Linked DNA regions of Xenopus tropicalis. The protein of the gene in region 2 interacts with the protein of the main gene of each other region in a pairwise test. Links are inferred from orthologs where the notes say so. Each region holds a gene or a part of one and is shown on either strand. Other genes may lie near its edges.

What was found. The genes of interacting proteins can lie anywhere in the genome.
Region 1: the proteins of nefl (region 2) and nme7 interact in binary tests that used the Homo sapiens proteins (3 or more experiments, as listed by UniProt). The two-hybrid records come from large-scale screens. The link is inferred for Xenopus tropicalis from reciprocal best matches to the Homo sapiens genes NEFL and NME7.
Region 3: the proteins of nefl (region 2) and usp2 interact in binary tests that used the Homo sapiens proteins (3 or more experiments, as listed by UniProt). The two-hybrid records come from large-scale screens. The link is inferred for Xenopus tropicalis from reciprocal best matches to the Homo sapiens genes NEFL and USP2.
Region 4: the proteins of nefl (region 2) and skil interact in binary tests that used the Homo sapiens proteins (3 or more experiments, as listed by UniProt). The link is inferred for Xenopus tropicalis from reciprocal best matches to the Homo sapiens genes NEFL and SKIL.
Region 5: the proteins of nefl (region 2) and tex11 interact in a two-hybrid assay, tested with the Homo sapiens proteins (2 studies listed by BioGRID and IntAct). The two-hybrid records come from large-scale screens. The link is inferred for Xenopus tropicalis from reciprocal best matches to the Homo sapiens genes NEFL and TEX11.

Annotation. Positions count from the first base shown.
Region 1 is NC_030678.2:55,260,259-55,262,579, reverse strand, and holds the end of nme7 (nucleoside diphosphate kinase 7), read left to right. Parts: intron 1-853; coding exon 854-961; intron 962-1,554; coding exon 1,555-1,587; 3' UTR 1,588-1,800; downstream 1,801-2,321. UniProt on the Homo sapiens protein: Possesses an intrinsic kinase activity. Displays 3'-5' exonuclease activity with a preference for single-stranded DNA. Does not seem to have nucleoside diphosphate kinase activity.
Region 2 is NC_030679.2:127,657,483-127,661,435, forward strand, and holds the start of nefl (neurofilament light polypeptide), read right to left. Parts: upstream 2,821-3,953; 5' UTR 2,794-2,820; coding exon 1,762-2,793; intron 617-1,761; coding exon 492-616; intron 1-491. UniProt on the Homo sapiens protein: Neurofilaments usually contain three intermediate filament proteins: NEFL, NEFM, and NEFH which are involved in the maintenance of neuronal caliber.
Region 3 is NC_030683.2:80,116,582-80,120,102, reverse strand, and holds part of usp2 (ubiquitin carboxyl-terminal hydrolase 2), read right to left. Parts: intron 2,118-3,521; coding exon 2,067-2,117; intron 1,985-2,066; coding exon 1,864-1,984; intron 1,682-1,863; coding exon 1,570-1,681; intron 770-1,569; coding exon 659-769; intron 1-658. UniProt on the Homo sapiens protein: Hydrolase that deubiquitinates polyubiquitinated target proteins such as MDM2, MDM4 and CCND1. Isoform 1 and isoform 4 possess both ubiquitin-specific peptidase and isopeptidase activities.
Region 4 is NC_030681.2:111,877,201-111,880,721, reverse strand, and holds part of skil (ski-like protein), read left to right. Parts: intron 1-28; coding exon 29-270; intron 271-1,992; coding exon 1,993-2,153; intron 2,154-3,381; coding exon 3,382-3,521. UniProt on the Homo sapiens protein: May have regulatory role in cell division or differentiation in response to extracellular signals.
Region 5 is NC_030684.2:44,774,664-44,778,184, forward strand, and holds part of tex11 (testis-expressed protein 11), read left to right. Parts: intron 1-2,276; coding exon 2,277-2,395; intron 2,396-3,176; coding exon 3,177-3,261; intron 3,262-3,521. UniProt on the Homo sapiens protein: Regulator of crossing-over during meiosis. Involved in initiation and/or maintenance of chromosome synapsis and formation of crossovers.

The sequences.
Region 1 (2,321 bases), on a different chromosome or scaffold from region 2:
ACTGTAATTTACATATTCTAATTTGAGTAAAATTTGGACTAAAATGCCATTTGGGCAAAAATAAGCTCTCTTTTGTTGTGCCCATGCACCCTACAGAAATGTTAAAAACACCAGAAATATATGGCAGCATCATGCTCACAGTAAAGCTACCCTGGGCCAGAGGAGGAGCACTGACCCAGGTTTACTTTCAAACACTTGCTTCGTCATCACAGACATAGAACAGCTCCCCCAGCTTCAGTATGCAGAGTATTAGAGTATTTGCTATCTGAAATGTGTGTTTAACTCCAGGATGGGCAGCTACAAACTAGATGCATATATACAAAGCCAATAATACATTGCTATCCCACAATAAAGGCATTGGGCTACTCTGGCTTTTCCATTGGTTAGCAAGAAAAATGTATGGTGCACTCAGGAAAGTCTTTCTGAAAAGAAATGTCTTGCAAGCTTACAGTACAGGTCACTTCTTTAGGGAAATGTTCATAGAAAATTTCACCTCAAAAACTTTCCATTGGCCATTAAAAGTACGTTTTTTTCTACTCCTAAAATAATAATATAAATCTGTGTATCTGGATTACTTGGTAACATCATCTACAGTGAAAAGGTATATTGACAAGGTGACCCACCAAAAAGTATTTTAGCCCACTTCACATCGCATTACTAAAATAACTGTATATATTTGTACAGGTGCACTTTTTTAACTTTAATAAAAATGTGTGGATTTCCTTGTCTTATAAATATCCAGTTTCAACCATCATAGCTAATTTCGAAAAATGTAATTCATGTCTTCTTAAGCTGAATGGTATATATCAATAAATTCCTACAATGCAGGTTTTTTTTTTATTTATCTAAACAGGAAATAGCTCGCCATTTGCGTCCTAAAACACTTCGTGCTCGCTTTGGAAAAAACAAAATTAAGAATGCTGTTCATTGTACTGACTTACCAGAAGATGCGCCATTAGAGGTGAGATATAGACTAGTCTTAATGTAGAAGATACTCTTATGCCTAGTGTGGCATACTTCCCAAGTTCTGTAGTTTCAAATCAGCAAGGCAACTCCTCAGTTCACCCAGCTGTGTCTGTGTGCAACTCTGCTACACACCCTGTCGAAGAGGCCTTTTTTAGTAGAGTTGCCCCACCTTTAGAAACTAAGAACGGGCAGTTAGAGGATGTGGTTTGGGGCATCTACAGCTATGTGGGTCTACTTCTTGACTTGGCTTTCATCAGCATCAGCTACATTTACTTATTATATTTGAATGTATTTTGCTACCAACTGCTTTTCATGACAATTTTGTAAGAACACCAAACTAATGGTATCTGTATGCAGAACTACTGTTCTTTTCTCAACAAAAATCATGTTACAAACCCCACCCCACCCCACCCCCAATGTAAACCTAAAGCTGCCCATTTCTGTACCCATAAGATGATATGAAATCGAAGTACATACATGGCTAGATGTTCTTTTTCCCTTATTACTTTTCATTTTTTTTTGTGACTGAACTGTAATAATGGATTTTATTTGATTTAAACCTATAACAAGACAATACTTCACTCACAGGTGCAATATTTTTTCAAGATTCTGGATAGCTGAATTGAAAAACAGAAGAATCCAAAACACCAAACTTTGTTTATTGTTTTATTGTCTCATGTTTAACTTGACTGAAGTTCCAACAAGAGCACAGGACTCCTGGCAATTATTACAGATGTATGAACAATGTGTGCACAGTAGACATTTAAATACATCCTATGGGATACTGCATTGCCATGAACGTTGTTTTAAAATAAAGATTTATTTTTCAACAGGTTACTTTGGTTTGTTTCATACATTTTCTTTTTCTTGAAGAAAAATAAAAATTGTACAACTGCATAAATATAAAATTCTTCCACCATGAAAATGGTTAAAACATTTGTAAAGACAAAGCACCAAACTGTGATGCTTTCAGAAAAAACAAAAAAACAAAAACATAAAATAAAAATATTTATATATATATAACTCAAAAACCATTAGCCCTATTTCTGACAAAAAGTGACAGTCGGACCCGGGGCTTCACACACCTTCATAATGGGCTTAAGCATTTAAAGGGGAAAGTTTCTATAAAAAGCATTAAATAAAAAGCACCGCACAACCCATCACCTCTTGCATTTCAGTGAAACTAAGAAGAGAAAGACAAAAACAGAAGCTCTTTTACAGATAAAACAAATCAATGCCTTATTTAAAGGACTTGTGGAGTGCTATTAAATATTATTGGTTGGCCACCACTTCCGTTTAAATTAAAAAAAGAAAAAACAAAACAAGAAAAGTAGCAATAAAATTACCATGCCAGT
Region 2 (3,953 bases):
AACTGCGCAGACTCTGGCCACAGGAATTAAGGATGTTTCTGAGAGAGGAAGTCAGACACTGGAACATCATGTTTACAAAAAAAGAGACAATAAATCCTGTGTTTCCTTTGATAGAGGACTCAGTGCAGCGTTTCTGTGAGTGCTTATGACTGTATTTATATAGACCTTTCTGATAAAGCTTACTTAGTTTTTACCTTTCCTTCCACCTTAAGTACAAGAGGATGAACAAAGTCTATGTATTTAACCCCTGCCTGAAATGTTCTCTCACATTTTCTACACTACAGCAGCCATAATATGGCTGGAATATCAAAAAGATAAGATCTTCACCTTGGTCTATCTTCTTAACTTCTCAACCACCAAGTCAATTTGCTATCTAGAGGAACCTGACAAAGGGGGGTGTGTCCTCCAAAAAAAGAGTCAGATGAAATCTACCACCTAGAGCCATGCAGGATTCAGCAATTGTGTATATGCCATCGGCTGAGCTCTGGTACCTGTAGGCAGCAATTTCTATATCCAAAGCCATCTTCACATTGAGCAGGTCTTGATATTCCTTCAGATACCTCGCCATTTCACTCTTGGTGTTCCTCAGCTCTTCCTCTAATTTGTTTATAGCATCCTACAGAAAAGAGAATGCCATTCTTCAGCTTATTTAAGATACCAACCTCACGTACAAGATATATATCAAATACTGTAGACTGGAGGCTACACTGCACATAGCAATATCTCCATGCAGCTTTAGCAGATGTTACCTTTAGAAACTTACAAGTATGGGGTCTCATTTAATGCACTCACTTGAAGCAATGGGCAGGTACGATGGGCACCTTAACCCTTTAGAATCAGAAAAGTGAAGTATTTCATGCTGAATGACCAATTAGCAATTAATGTAAATACATTACTGCAGTGCTGCAAAGAAACCAGTGCAGGATGTGGATTCAGTATATGTGTAAAGGGGTGTGGGACACTGCAAGCTAAATAATTCCTTGTAGCTAATAAAATGTACAGCAGCAGCAGAACCTACAAAGCTGGTATGTAACTCCAACTCCATAGTTGCTTCTAGAAACTCTCAACAGAAAAAACAAAGCTCTGCATCAGTGTACAGGGGACTTGGGACTGTATATATAGCTGGATGGCTGCAGACTGGCAGCACTATCTTGTAGGGGGGGTCCATCCGTCTATGCACTGCACCCACTCCGGGAGCTAATGTTTGTGGGGTATAGGATACATAAAGAAACCTCATGCAAGGATGGAATAGTGTGGCCAATAAGGCAAGAAGTAACTAACATTTTTATATCGGATATGTCTACACTGCAGCTTTTATCTACAACTTCTAGCATGGGTGGAATGCATCCTGGGAGTTATAATTATATTCAGGAAAGGTGGGTTGTCTTTTTTTTTTAAAAAAAAAGTGGGGTGGCTGCAGACTACCAGAACCCCATTTTTCTACTGGGGGCCCCATACATCTGTAGACATTTGGGTCCCTGTTTAATACTGAACAGTGGCAAACATTGATTTTTCTAAGTTCCTGATGTTTGTACCCCCCCAGTGTCACTGAATGTATCCCTGTCTGTGGAGACAGATACACCCTCAGCCTACAATATAACCTTTATAACGTTAGCCCAGTGCCAATCTATGGGGCTGATTCTATGCTATTCCCATGTCCATTTATCCTGCTGAATTAATGTTAACGGTTAAGACATTGTTCGCTCCTACCAATATTACTAACCCCCCATCCCCACCCCAGCAGCACAGACACCCCAGTACCTGCATCCCTGCGATTTCCCCGCTCTGCTTTTCCTCCAGTTCCTGGATTTGCCTCTCTAGAGCGTCGTTCACCCCCCTACAAGCCTCTATCTCCAGACCCTTGGCGCTGAGCATCCTGCGACTCTCGGACACCTCATCCTTGGCGGCTCTGACTGCGTCCGTGTTGCGGGCTGCGCTTTGCGTCAGGACAGTGAATCGCGACTTGAACCAGTCCTCCGCGGACTGCATGTTCTTGGCTGCCAGCTTCTCGTACTGGGCCCTTATATCCCGCAGGGCAGAGCTGAGATCGGGCTTAGCCACTTCGACTTCTAGGGAGATCTGAGCGTATTGCACCTGCGACTGAAGCTGCGCCAGTTCTTCCTCATGTACTTTCTTCAGGAAAGCGATTTCGTCTAGAAGGCTATCCATGCGCTTCTCCAGTTCTACCCGGGCTAGGGCTGCCATGTCGGCTTCTTTCCTCACATCCAACAGCCTGGCCTCCGCGTCTTCCCGGCTCAGCGCTTCTTCCTCATAGCGCCCCTGCAGCAGGCGCAGCGCATCCTCTAAACGTTCGCGCTCGTTGCGCATAGTCTGCCGGTCCCCCGTAGCCTCCTCCTGCGCCAGACGCAGCTCCCGTACCTCCTGCTCGTACAGATCCCGCAGCCTGGAGGGTTCGTTGTGTTTTTGGCGCAATAGGAGCAGCTCTGCCTCCAACACCTTGTTGCGCTGCTCCAGTTCGTGGACGCGCTCGATAAAGTTGGCGAAGCGATCGTTCAGGTCCTGCAGCTGCGCCTTCTCCTGGGTTCGCACGATTTTCAAGTCGCTGCTGATCGCCGCTACCTGCGACAGGTCCATGGTGTCCACGCCGTGCAGGAGGGAAGAGGAGGAAGAAGAAGAGGCGGCGTAACTCCGGCGCATAGTGCTGGAAACCACCGGGGAGTAAGTGGTTCTGCTGGGAGAGACATAGCTGCTCCTGATGTGCACCCTGGGGCTGCTCTCCACCACCCGGCGCTTGTAGGAAGTGTAATACGGGTCGTAACTGTAGGAGCTCATGGTGCCGGCTGGGGAGAGCGCAGCGCAGCGCCTTCTTATATGGTGCGGGGAGTGCGCTGCGCATGCGCGGTGCCACTAGTTCTTCAGCGCTCAGCACCAAGGACAGAGCAGATCAGCTTTTCAGAACTGCAGAGGTGCCGGTTCCGCCTAAAGCCACAGCCGCCCCTCTCCCACCCACATGTACAGCTCCCATCACTGGGATCATTGGGAGTCACTGGCACCCACAGCAAAATCAGTTTAACCCCTCTACCAAAACTTTATGAATATATACATATAACTGCTTATCAGTCATTTCCCCCCCCAGCAGGGACTGCTTCCAATGTAGTTACACCCCTCTAGTTATGTGTTATAGTAACCCTAAGCAGCAACTTCCCAACAGGGAATAGGGTCATGCCTAGGGTGCAAACACCCCACAGGATGACTCTGCAAAGCAAGAAAATTCCAACAGCCCTCATAAAGAGTGATTTTTATTTGTGCCACAAAACAAGCCTGTAAAAATCACTCTTTATTCACCATTTAGGAGTGCTGTTGGGATATTCTTGCTTTGAATAAACTGTTGTTCTGTTGTCCCATCTGATGACTCTATTGTATCACCAAATGGGAGGTACGCTGCTTGATGTTTGACCAACACCTGGGGATCACCTTCATGGCCAGAAACCACCCAACCTGATATAGAACTTTTCCATCTAAATATAAATACAGATTTAACTACTAAAGGGATGGAAATAATTAAATAAGCACTATAGGGAGACAGAATGAGAGAAAAGGCAACCCTTAGCAATGGCAGGACCCAATGTCAGTCATTCTGTTGGGACCTGCAGTGCTTTACACATGGAGTTAAAAGGATTTAGGTCCAATAAGGCAACAAGTGGAAACTGCTGCTCCCCCTCCTGTCACCGAGCTCTGCTAATGTAAAATCAGTCTTTCCCCTCCTCAGCCCCTTCCCCATGGTGTCCCTTTATTTATAAAGCTTGAGGTGGCAACCCTAGCATGGGTTAAATACATTTATCTAAGGCTGGCCCTGATGACACTGTTAACTTTCACTGTGTATAGTGAAACAAAAACAGTAAATGATCCTACCCAAAGCAGGAATAAGAAGTGATAGCGGCTGGGATGTTAAGACATTTTTGGTTAATGGGCAAATGAGTTTTGGGATGGAG
Region 3 (3,521 bases), on a different chromosome or scaffold from region 2:
TTTGTGCACCCCCCTGCAGCAGATTTGGTCAGTTATCCTGTAGTGTGGCTTCCTATTTTGAAATAGGACCCAGAAAATATGTGTGTCCACTGAACTGGGTTCCATCTCCATAGGTAGATACGTTTCTATCAGTGGAATCTGCTAATACTTATGTGCAGCCAACTTGTACAAATCCAACATTTAGGCTTGTGAAGTGAGCATCCAGATATCTTAGTAGAAGAAAACATAGAGTTCTACATAGTAGGATCTACTGCAAATCTCACCCTGGCTGGACTGTTTAAAGTTCAGAAAGCTAAATCTAAGCCCCAAGCACTGCGTTTTTGTGGCAATTAATTGCTAATTTGCCTACTTTGTTGTAATTTCCAGTATCCCCAGTGGTTTACAGATTAATTAAATGCAGATGTATTCCTTCCTCTAGGGAGACATCAACCACAAATTCCATTCCTGTCCTCCCCCATACAATTGGCAGTAGCACAAACCAAGGTCATAAGGCAGAGACCAAAAGTGCTTGTGTTCAGTTTAAATATAAAAGACGACTGTAAAATCAAGCCAGGCAGTCAGAAACACTTTGACTTAAACACTGATTTACATCAATTAATGTAGTATGCACATGCACTGAGTACTCTCTACTTTCTCTTGACTTATAACCAATACTCACGGCATATGGTCCAAATCCTGGCTGGAAGGTCTGGGTTTGACTGTTACCCTGTTGACTTCATTGTGTAAACCATCCAAGAGAAATCGTAGAAATTCCTGAGCGTCTTGCTGGCTGTGTAAATGGACAGACAAAAAGCAAACTGTAATCAAAGGCTTTAATTTAATATATAATATAGTTCCTCTTGGAAGAATAAAATATGGGAATATAAACGTAGACTGGAACATAGTAGAAATGAAAGAATTTTACTCAGGAAAGTGAAATATGATATCCAGAATCATACATAAAACTAACTGTAGCCCATGATTGAAAGCCCATCACAGTATCACCAGGTAGAAGATTTTACAGCCCTCACGATGAAGAACCATTTACATTGCTTTAGTTAAAACCAGGGTCAGTTGGGGCTGCCAGGACACCGGGAAAATTCTTTTGGGCCCCACCGACCTAGACTTTCTCCACTACATAAGTATGAAAGCCCATAAGCAGGTGGTTTAGACTTAACTAATAAATCCAAGATAAATGTTTACTGAGCATTAACTTTATCAAGTCAATAACATTATCAAGGGGAATGGCATTTGTCCTGGCTATGTAGCTAAATGCAATATAAAACTAACATTTCCCTCATGCATGTTAATATTCCAAGTTAAAATCCCTGCCCATGCCCCAAATAAGGTCACACCTCAAACTGAACCATATCTACTTTTAAGGAGAAGGAAAGTTAAAATCACTGGTGGTGCCAATGAGACCCCCCCAGTAATTAGAATAGTGTACCTGATACCCTGGGCCAGTGCTCCTGCTAGCAGAAAACTGCACAAACCAAGGGTAGTTGTAGTTTTAGCACTTAAGTTTGACTATGTTTTTAACAGATGGGAAGATGACACAGTGTTAAATAAAAAAACATTAAGTTTGCTTACTTATATCCCATGAAGCGAGGAGCATATTTCTGTATCTGAGTTTTGAACTCAGAAGGGCTCACTACTTCATTGGCTGAACTAGTCCAAATTGCCTGGAGCAATCGTGCAAACTCTGGAATAATAAAAATCAAATCAGTAATGCATATCATATTGCATATCACCAATTCTGCTATGGAATTTTGTCAGTTCATGTTTTGCTATAAATTTAATATTGTGCCTGTAGTATTTTATATTGCCAGTTGCCTGGTTCTTTGCTTTGTGTGTGTGCAGTGTTTATTTTTGAAAATCTCTTACCTTCCATAATTGCAGTATTACATTTTTTTGAACTCAGATCTCGACGATATGAATTCTGCAGACAGTAATCTCGTAGGTCCTTGGTATTGCTTAAACATTGCAGTATGGAGTTCATAAAACACTGGAGTAAAATAAAACACATGTAAGAGAGATCCCGAGAAGCTGGTATGCACAAAAAACAAAACAAAAACTCACAGACTTACCGTATTACCCAGATTCCGAAGGCCAACTAGACCCTGTACGTGTTTGGAAGACTGCAAAACGAAGAAAAACAAAGAAAAGAAAAGTATTATAGTCTTACCTAGGGGCCCAGTAAAAGGATTCACAAGATAAGGTGACAACACGAACAAATGAGTAGAAATGAAATATTTAATGCATTCTTCAATGCACACACAATTTTATAGATTCGCCAATGCATGTTTGCATGTATTAACATGTGTGTTTCTAATTACCTGGTGTATGCAAAATCTTTTACTTTGAACAACTATTATGCCACAGGGTCAGAGATCCCCATACAGTCACACACAGACCTATATTCAAGCGAAGAGGTTTGGCTGGTTTCTGTGTTAGAGAAGTAAAACAACATGCACTGGGCAGTAAACTAAATGGCAAATGTCCAGTAGCTGTAGACTGTGGTCTACAGGGACAGGGAAGATGCTAAGTAAACAATAATAACAGTTAAGGCTTCAGTTGAATACCTGAAAATTGCAATGCTGTCTTCACAGCATTAATATGTAAAAGGACATTTATGGTAGTTAATTAATATTTTTGCATCTTAGGATATGTGCACATAGGTTGTTTTGAACTGCCTGGTGTATGCTATGTTTATCCTAGCCACTAAGTGTCTGCCAGTAGAGATCTTATGGCCACCAAAATAAAGATTGTGGCTAAAGGGCTGCTGAGGCATCTGGCATCTGGCTAAATATTAAAGCTAAATATTAAAGGAACAGTAACACCAAAAAATTGTGTATAAAAGTAACTAAAATATAATGTGCTGCTGCCCTGCACTGGTAAAAGTTGTGTGTTTACTTCAGAAAGTCTACTATAATTTATATAAATAAGCTGCTATGTAGCCATGGAGGCAGGCATTCAAATGAGAAAAGGCACAGGAACATAGCAGATAACAGATAAAACACTACTGTATTCTACAGAACTTATCTGTTATCTGCTATGTAACCTGTGCCTTTTCGCCTTTTTTCCAGCTTGAATGGCTGCCCCCATGGCTACACAGCAGCTTATTATATAAATCATAGTAGTGTTACTGTAGCAAACACACCAGTTTTACCAGTGCAGGGCAACAGTGCATTATATTTTTATTACTTTAAAGCTCTTTCATTTTTTGGTGTTACTGTTCCTTTAAGTTGGTAGAGGGTGTGGCTTCCCAGAGAAGGAGGTTTCCTCCCCTCTCCATGTGGTAGATCTTGTACATGGCTAGAATTAAAATGCTATTGTGGCAACAAAGTTAAGAAATAAATAACTATATATTATTATATAAATATAGAAGGTGCTTGAGAGAGGGTCAGCACTCACAGGACTTATATAAACAAATTATTTTTTATTATTATTATAAAGAGGAGACTAACGTTTCGGCTAGTACTTTAGCCTTTATCAAAGACTTTATATATATATATATAAAGTTGCGGTAAGAATTGCGATGC
Region 4 (3,521 bases), on a different chromosome or scaffold from region 2:
CACAAACTTGTTAAATATTCCTTTTCAGCTACTATCTCTACATGTATGATAAGGTTGTGGCGCCGAATGTATCCCTCACAGCTACTGTATCACAGTGCAAGGAAGCAAAAATAGGAAGAAAAGAGGTTGCACCCAGCAAACCCTCTGTGGAGCTAGAGAAGCAGGCTAGGAGTGGCAAACATAAATCTGTTACCTCATACCCTGAGCTTTCCATAGAGGAACAAGAGAGGGTGGATTTGAAACCAGACATAAAGACCAGTAATATTAAACGTAAGTAAAATGTGCAAGTTTTCTGGCCTCCTCTTTGATTCACATGTTCTACTGAAAAACAACATCAGCTACTTAAAGAAGTTTAAGCAAAGGAATATTATTATCTTTCGAAGGACACTTTAAATGTGACTAATCGCTTAACTCTAACCCCAGTCTGGGTCTTTTCTACGAAAAATGCACTAGCCAGGGGTAGTATTGAGCAGAGTAGGCCGCCATAATCTTACCCTACTTACCCAGTGATTGCTTGGCTCAGCATAAAAGGTAAGTGAATAGGTAATAGCGTTGCCAACAAAATGGCCGGTGACTCTAACTTTTCTATTCCTTTAAAACAGTGTTGTTTAGGATCAAGTCCCTTTTAGTTGGTTCAGCATTTAGTTAGGGGCCCCATTACCTTATAACACACTGTTGTTGCAAGAATATCTAGAACAGCAAAGAAGTGTTCACTGCAAGGCTTAAATTAGTTGTCCTTCAGGTTGGGTCTGAGGACAGCATTCAGCCTGACTTCCCAGCTGCCCATCCTTGGTAGGTGGGATAAGCTCCACAGTTGGAAACCTTCAACAGGTGGGTCTTCACAGAATATTGGCAGGCTGAAGACACTTTTGAAGGATAAGGAACTGCAAAGTGGTGTATATGGAGATATGGAGATGAAAGCTGAGATGAGGGAAGGGCCTTCAGTATTTTGATTCATAGGGAATCAATGATCTGGATAAATACATGAGTCTGCCCTATACAGTGGTTGTGGTAGCATCATACTCTGGTTTTGATTTTTATTAGCAGGGACTAGCGGTAAATGTGAAAGAAATGTTAGGAAGAGCACCGCACTTGTATGAAAGCAATATTATTAATTATCTGGTATTAATATAGTGCATACACATTTCTGCAGTGCTTTACAGAAATGATGCAATCACCCCAGTGCAATCACCCCAGTGGAGCTCACAATCTATGGTTACTATCACATTCACCCACAATAGTGGCAGTTTCATAAGGAACCAGTTAACCCGCCTGTATGTTTCTGGAGTACTATGGCAGAGCCCTCTTTAACTCTTGTATTGGTTATATTTTTGTGTTTAATCTGAATGTTCAGCATATGCACCCATTTATTGTACAGAGTTGTATAATATCTTGGCGCTTTATAAATACATGTTAGTAAGAATAATGGGACTATTCAGAAAGTCGACTGGAGCACAGTTTTAAAACTACTGCTTTTGGTCATTGGCGCTGCGGGTTGGGGGTGTTAGGTTGCGGGGGGGGGGGGTTTGGTTGTGCAGGGACGATGCTGGGGGAGCCGGGTGAAAATCCAACATGGCGGCCACCACAGAGTGCAAAGAGAGGAATGTTTGAAGGCACATTTTGGGACAAGGGAGGATTATTTTTAAAAAAATAAGTTTGCGATCTGTTACAGGCAAGGGGGCTCTACAATATATTAAGGGCTTTAGTAGAAGCCTTTCCTTGCTCTTTAAGGAGATTAAAGATAAATGTGATGGGAGTTCTTATATTGTCATTTTCAGTTTGAAATAATATTCAGAGAAGCAAAATAGCGTTAAAATGTTTAGCTTTATGCTAATTTTGATTTGCACAGAGGTGACATTTTTGCAGGTTTTTTTTATTAGGTAGTTAAATCAGTTAGAATGCTATATTATCTTATAAGGTATGTTCTCGTATTCTTCTGTTCCCATTTCTTTCTTTATCTTTGGTTTCAGTGATAAGCTTTTTATTTTACAGAGCCCAATACAGTGGATGGGGAAAAGCATGAATCTGCTTGTAATAAGGATATTCTCTGTGTGGATGACAAAAGCCAAATAATGGAAGAAGTTGTAAAAACATTCTTGAAACAGCAAGAGAAACTGAATTACATTCTGCAGAAAAAACAGCAAATTCAAATGGTATGTAAGGTGTCACTTCAAGTTACAGATTTTCTCATGGATACAACCTAAGACATTTGTTTAACACTTAAAATTATTATTGGTAAAAATAATTAATGGGTGTAATCTTTAATAAATGTTTACCCAGATTGGTGAACTTAGGTCAATCAGTGACTTATACATGTGTCATAAAGATTGGGCAGAAAGAATATATACCATACAAGGGTCCCTATGCTTTAGGCTCAGCCTGGTGCAGGTACAATGAGCAGATTTCGACACATAACTACTTGGGTATGCAATTACGCACCAAAATCTGCCGCAGGTACATCAATAGGTATTTTGAAGTGTAGGGGCAGATAAATACAGGACAGGAATCCACCCCATGTAGCAGGAGCCTCATGGCCACCTTTCAGGTTTTCCATTGAAAGCCAAAATGATACCAACATAGGCAGATTTAATGTTCCAACATGTCGTATTAGCAAATTGACAAATATCTATGGATATTAGACAGGATTATCAAGGTAGCATAAAATTAAGAAATAGTTTCATTGTTATTATACCTGTAAGGGCAGTGAAAATCCTACCTTCCCTTAGTTAAGTTTGGAAGTATTTAAACACACCAGATCTATAGAGTAATCCAGACTTTCCTGCTTGGGCTGGTATACCTAACTGTAATTATCACAGTATCTTTTGGGTACTTGTGACATTGCCATGTATATATTTTGTATGCTGTTTATATAGTGCTAACATGTTATGCTGGTGCTTTACAAAGATTGCACATCATTCAGGTGACTTCATCTCCCAGTAGAGCTTTAAAGTCTATGATTCCTATCACATTGACATACAAACTAGGGTCCATTTCATCAGTAAATTTTTAGCCTTGTGATGTGAGCCAAATGAATAACCGTTATTATTTCTGAAATCATCCCTTTGTGCTTTTACAGCATTTGTATTCTGGACTGACTAGAACCCCATAATGCTTGTGTTGGTCTTCCATAAATTTCAAGATTCCATCATAATAAATAAGACTCAGCCGCTCAAAAACATCCTCACCTTTCATATGGGGGCACAAACAAGCTGCTTACTGCTAGACTGCATAACTCATATTTTGATAATACTCCGTAGGGTACATTCCTAACATTGATTGTAGTTGAGTCACAGTGCCCCTACTAAAGGCAGAAGTAGCTCAGTTACTTATACAGTAATAATCTAGGCCAAGGACACAAGAATAACATACTGGTTTTTGCAGGAAGTTGAACTACTAAGCAATTCCAAAACTATGAAGGACCTAACTGTGGAGCAACAGAACTTGCAGAAAGAGTTTGAATCCTTGCAGAATGAGCACATGCAAAAAATGGAGGAATTATATGATGAGCAGCGAGATTTGGA
Region 5 (3,521 bases), on a different chromosome or scaffold from region 2:
TTTCTGTAATCTATTACGGAAATGCAGGACAGTGATGGAACTATCTGGGACAGCGGGATGCGCTATTAAAACCGGGACAGTTGGGGGTGTGTGCATCTGGGGCATAAGTAAATGACCTGTATAGCCTAAAATACACTGATAAAATTCACCTTTTTTGCCTGCCATTAACTTTACTTACAGCTGCCTGAAACTACTCATACGGAACTATGTAAACCCCAGAATACTCAATTTTTGGGCTAAAATCCATCTGCACATGTGCAGGTGGTTTCTGCTTAGATTCTCAATAGCTGCAAGGACCACACTGAGCATGTGAGTGTCAAAGCAAAATCCAAGAGGGTAAGAATGTGTGACAACTTTGAAGTCCCGGATCATGCTGCTATTGAGATGCTGAATCATTGCTGGTGCAATAAGCTCAGTATATAAAATATGGCATTTCTAGCCATATTCAGTTTTAGGATTTAGTTCTCCTTTAAATTCAGCTGAAGCTGTAACCTTTGCTATGAGTAATATTAAAGGGCACACATGTAATCCAGTTGAAGAATGTTTTTCAGCTTCATCATACTCCTGATTCTTTAGCAACCTCTTAATGATTCTAACTGAGACACTGGCAGTAAAAAGGGAAGAGAGTTTATTATACAAAGATTCAATCAGACCTTGTCTTTATTCATTCATCATTCTCAGTTTAATAACAAAGCTATTGATTTAAAAAAAAATAAAGGAAAACTGGGTCATATTATATGACTTATTGGGCAAGTGTCCTAAGTATAATGTATCTTTCAGGGATAGGGACAGAAAACCAAGCACATTAGCCACAAGATTAATGGTATTTTTAATTTTTAATTGAGGATTTTGTATCTTTACAGTTACACTAACCTCAACAACACCCTCATTTATTTTTTTTAAAAATTAATACACTTTAAAATACTATTTATTCACTTAGTAAAACAGAGGATTACAAAGACTATCCCTAGTGCATGCAACATTACTAGCAGGTGAGATTCTAATCTTTCCAAGCCAACTAATAATAATCAGCTTCCCCTCCTCCAAGTCTATCAAAGGACATGTAAAAATGTAATCAGTGAACGGCCTCATTGAAATCTTTTAATACCTGCCATTCTGGTTGTTCAGGCTGCAGCATCACCTTAGAGGAGAAGGAAAGGGTTAAAATGGCAACCCCATAACTAGAAAGGCCTCATGTGCCCATAGCTGATCGCTACCTTTTTTTTAGCTTTTTAGCCTCTTTATTTCCTGCACTCACCGACTTTAGTAACCGCTATATCGCGCATATTGTGGCCAACATGTTGGATACTGAAATTAGTCTAACATGGCGCCGTGTAAGTAAACGCACCTGCGCAAATCTTCTCCCTCCCCCAAGACGCGAGCACGACCTACTCTCCTCTATGCTAACTGTGCACTGCGCAAACACAGGCACGAGCTTGCTAGCGAGGCGCACTTCTGTTTCTTGTCAATGCGCATGCGCTTACTGAGGAGCTGGTCTTAGTCTTGGTGCAGGAACGATGCATTATGGGAATCCTCTTTACACAGCTCAGCGTTTTTTCTTCCTATTTGGCTTCTGATCATCTAAACAGGCAAAATGTGGGGAGACTTATGGGCATTATTGAGACAATTGAAGGTATGCCTGCAGCTTGAGATTAACTCTTTATTAGCCTTTCCTTCTCCTTTAATTACTTGGATTTCCTTTGGCTGTTGGCTCCTGGGCATGCTCAGTTTTTCTCAGCTCGGATTACTAAACACACCCTCCATTCTAGCAGCCAATGAAAAGATGGCATTGCTGGTTCCCATATAAACTCAGCTCCATCTATCGGCTCCCATTGTTTTCCCCTAACCTCCTCTCCTGAGCTTAGCTTAACTATTACAGTGCTCGAACAAAGTAGACCTTTTATCAAAGACAGTTCCGCCTGTGTGAGCCTGCATCCTTGATGAAATTTATGCTGAATAAGGGTCTGTGTGTGTATGCTGTTTGCAGATTTAAATGTAACTGATAAAAATGTGGGAATGGCCACCAGGTGAAAGCTGATATTTGTTTTAAGAAAATTGTGATGGTGCTGGCAAACAAAGGGGATATATGCAGTACAAATGATACCATTCATTCTACTTTCATTCCCATGGGTTGATGCTATTGTTTTTGAATTGACTACAGGCTGCAATAAGAACATGAGGAAAAGGGATAACTGGGCAAATTCATCTCTTCAAAGATAGGCCTGTGCTTTCTTCTATCTGTAATGTGATCACTTTTTAAAGCTTTTTGATTCCAGGTCTTATTACTGACTTGATGGGGAGACCACTACCATCAGCTGTGAGTGAGATTATTGATCAGCTGTACAAAGAGATAGAATATCTGGGGGAAAATGGAATCCAGTGTTCGAATGCTCAGGTAGGGAACAGACCACTAATCAGCAAATATCTGCAAACGTTATATGGGAATTGTAGAATTCTCTCTTTCTCAATATATATAAGCGCAGGGCTGTCTTTAGGGTTGGAGCAGGAGACAGTCCTGTTAAGGGTCCCAGTCCAGAAAAGAATTGTCTGAATCCTTTTACTTCAAAAGTAGAGGGGGCTTCTTGGACATAACTTTATATGGATGAGATTCTTAGATTTTCCTTCTTTATAGCTTGACCTGTCCTTAAACATAAATCTACAAATGTGGGCTTGAGTAAGGGAATTCAATTTTGTTTACACCAAAACTTTATTTTCATTTTCATATTGTCAGACATATCTGTTAAAACATTTGTTGTAGTATTTTGTTTTACATTCATGTCTTTGCTAAAAACTTTTAGCTTATACCTGTTTTCTTTGGGCCTTGTGAAAGATAGCTTTCACTGCAAGTAGTTTGCCAACATTGTCATTCTTTGTTGGCTCCTGGGTGGTCCATAGTTTTGTTGTTCGATTTCTTGGTTTTGTTGGTTTTGAAAGTACTGGGATGCTTCAATTAGTAATGGATGTTCCCTGAGTGTTTCCATATCATACCATGTGATTTGCCTAAACGGCGGGGGGGGGGGGGGCAATGCACATGCGTGAGTTGGGCGACAAAAGTGGGGTGGCCTCGGGGCACCCTAATGAGAAATCCGGCCCTGCACACACTCACTGCACCTTAGCACAACACTTTATGCTAGTTACAGTTATCACGGCTTACACAATTTCAGTTCATCTTTTAGGTTGACGAATGTGCTATCAATTTGTGGAACTGGGGTGTAACAAAGAGGGCAGAAGACTCCATTACTGAGGATGACAGAGCTAGAGGTAAGAATTGACACCAGGACTGATGTTACTGATGAAAGAAATACATCCTTGCTGATTCACATTTATGTGTATGTTTCCTTTGTGTGTTTGTATAATAGTTTTTATGGCAGCATTATTGCATAATTGTGTTTCTAAAGCTTCTAAAGGAGGCTAAAACTGGTAAGTCCAAGATAAGTGGCAATCAGGATGACAACTAAAGGTTAAAATGTATTTTAAATCTATGATCACAAAGAAAACTTTTCCCTTGAGCAGTCTTGGGC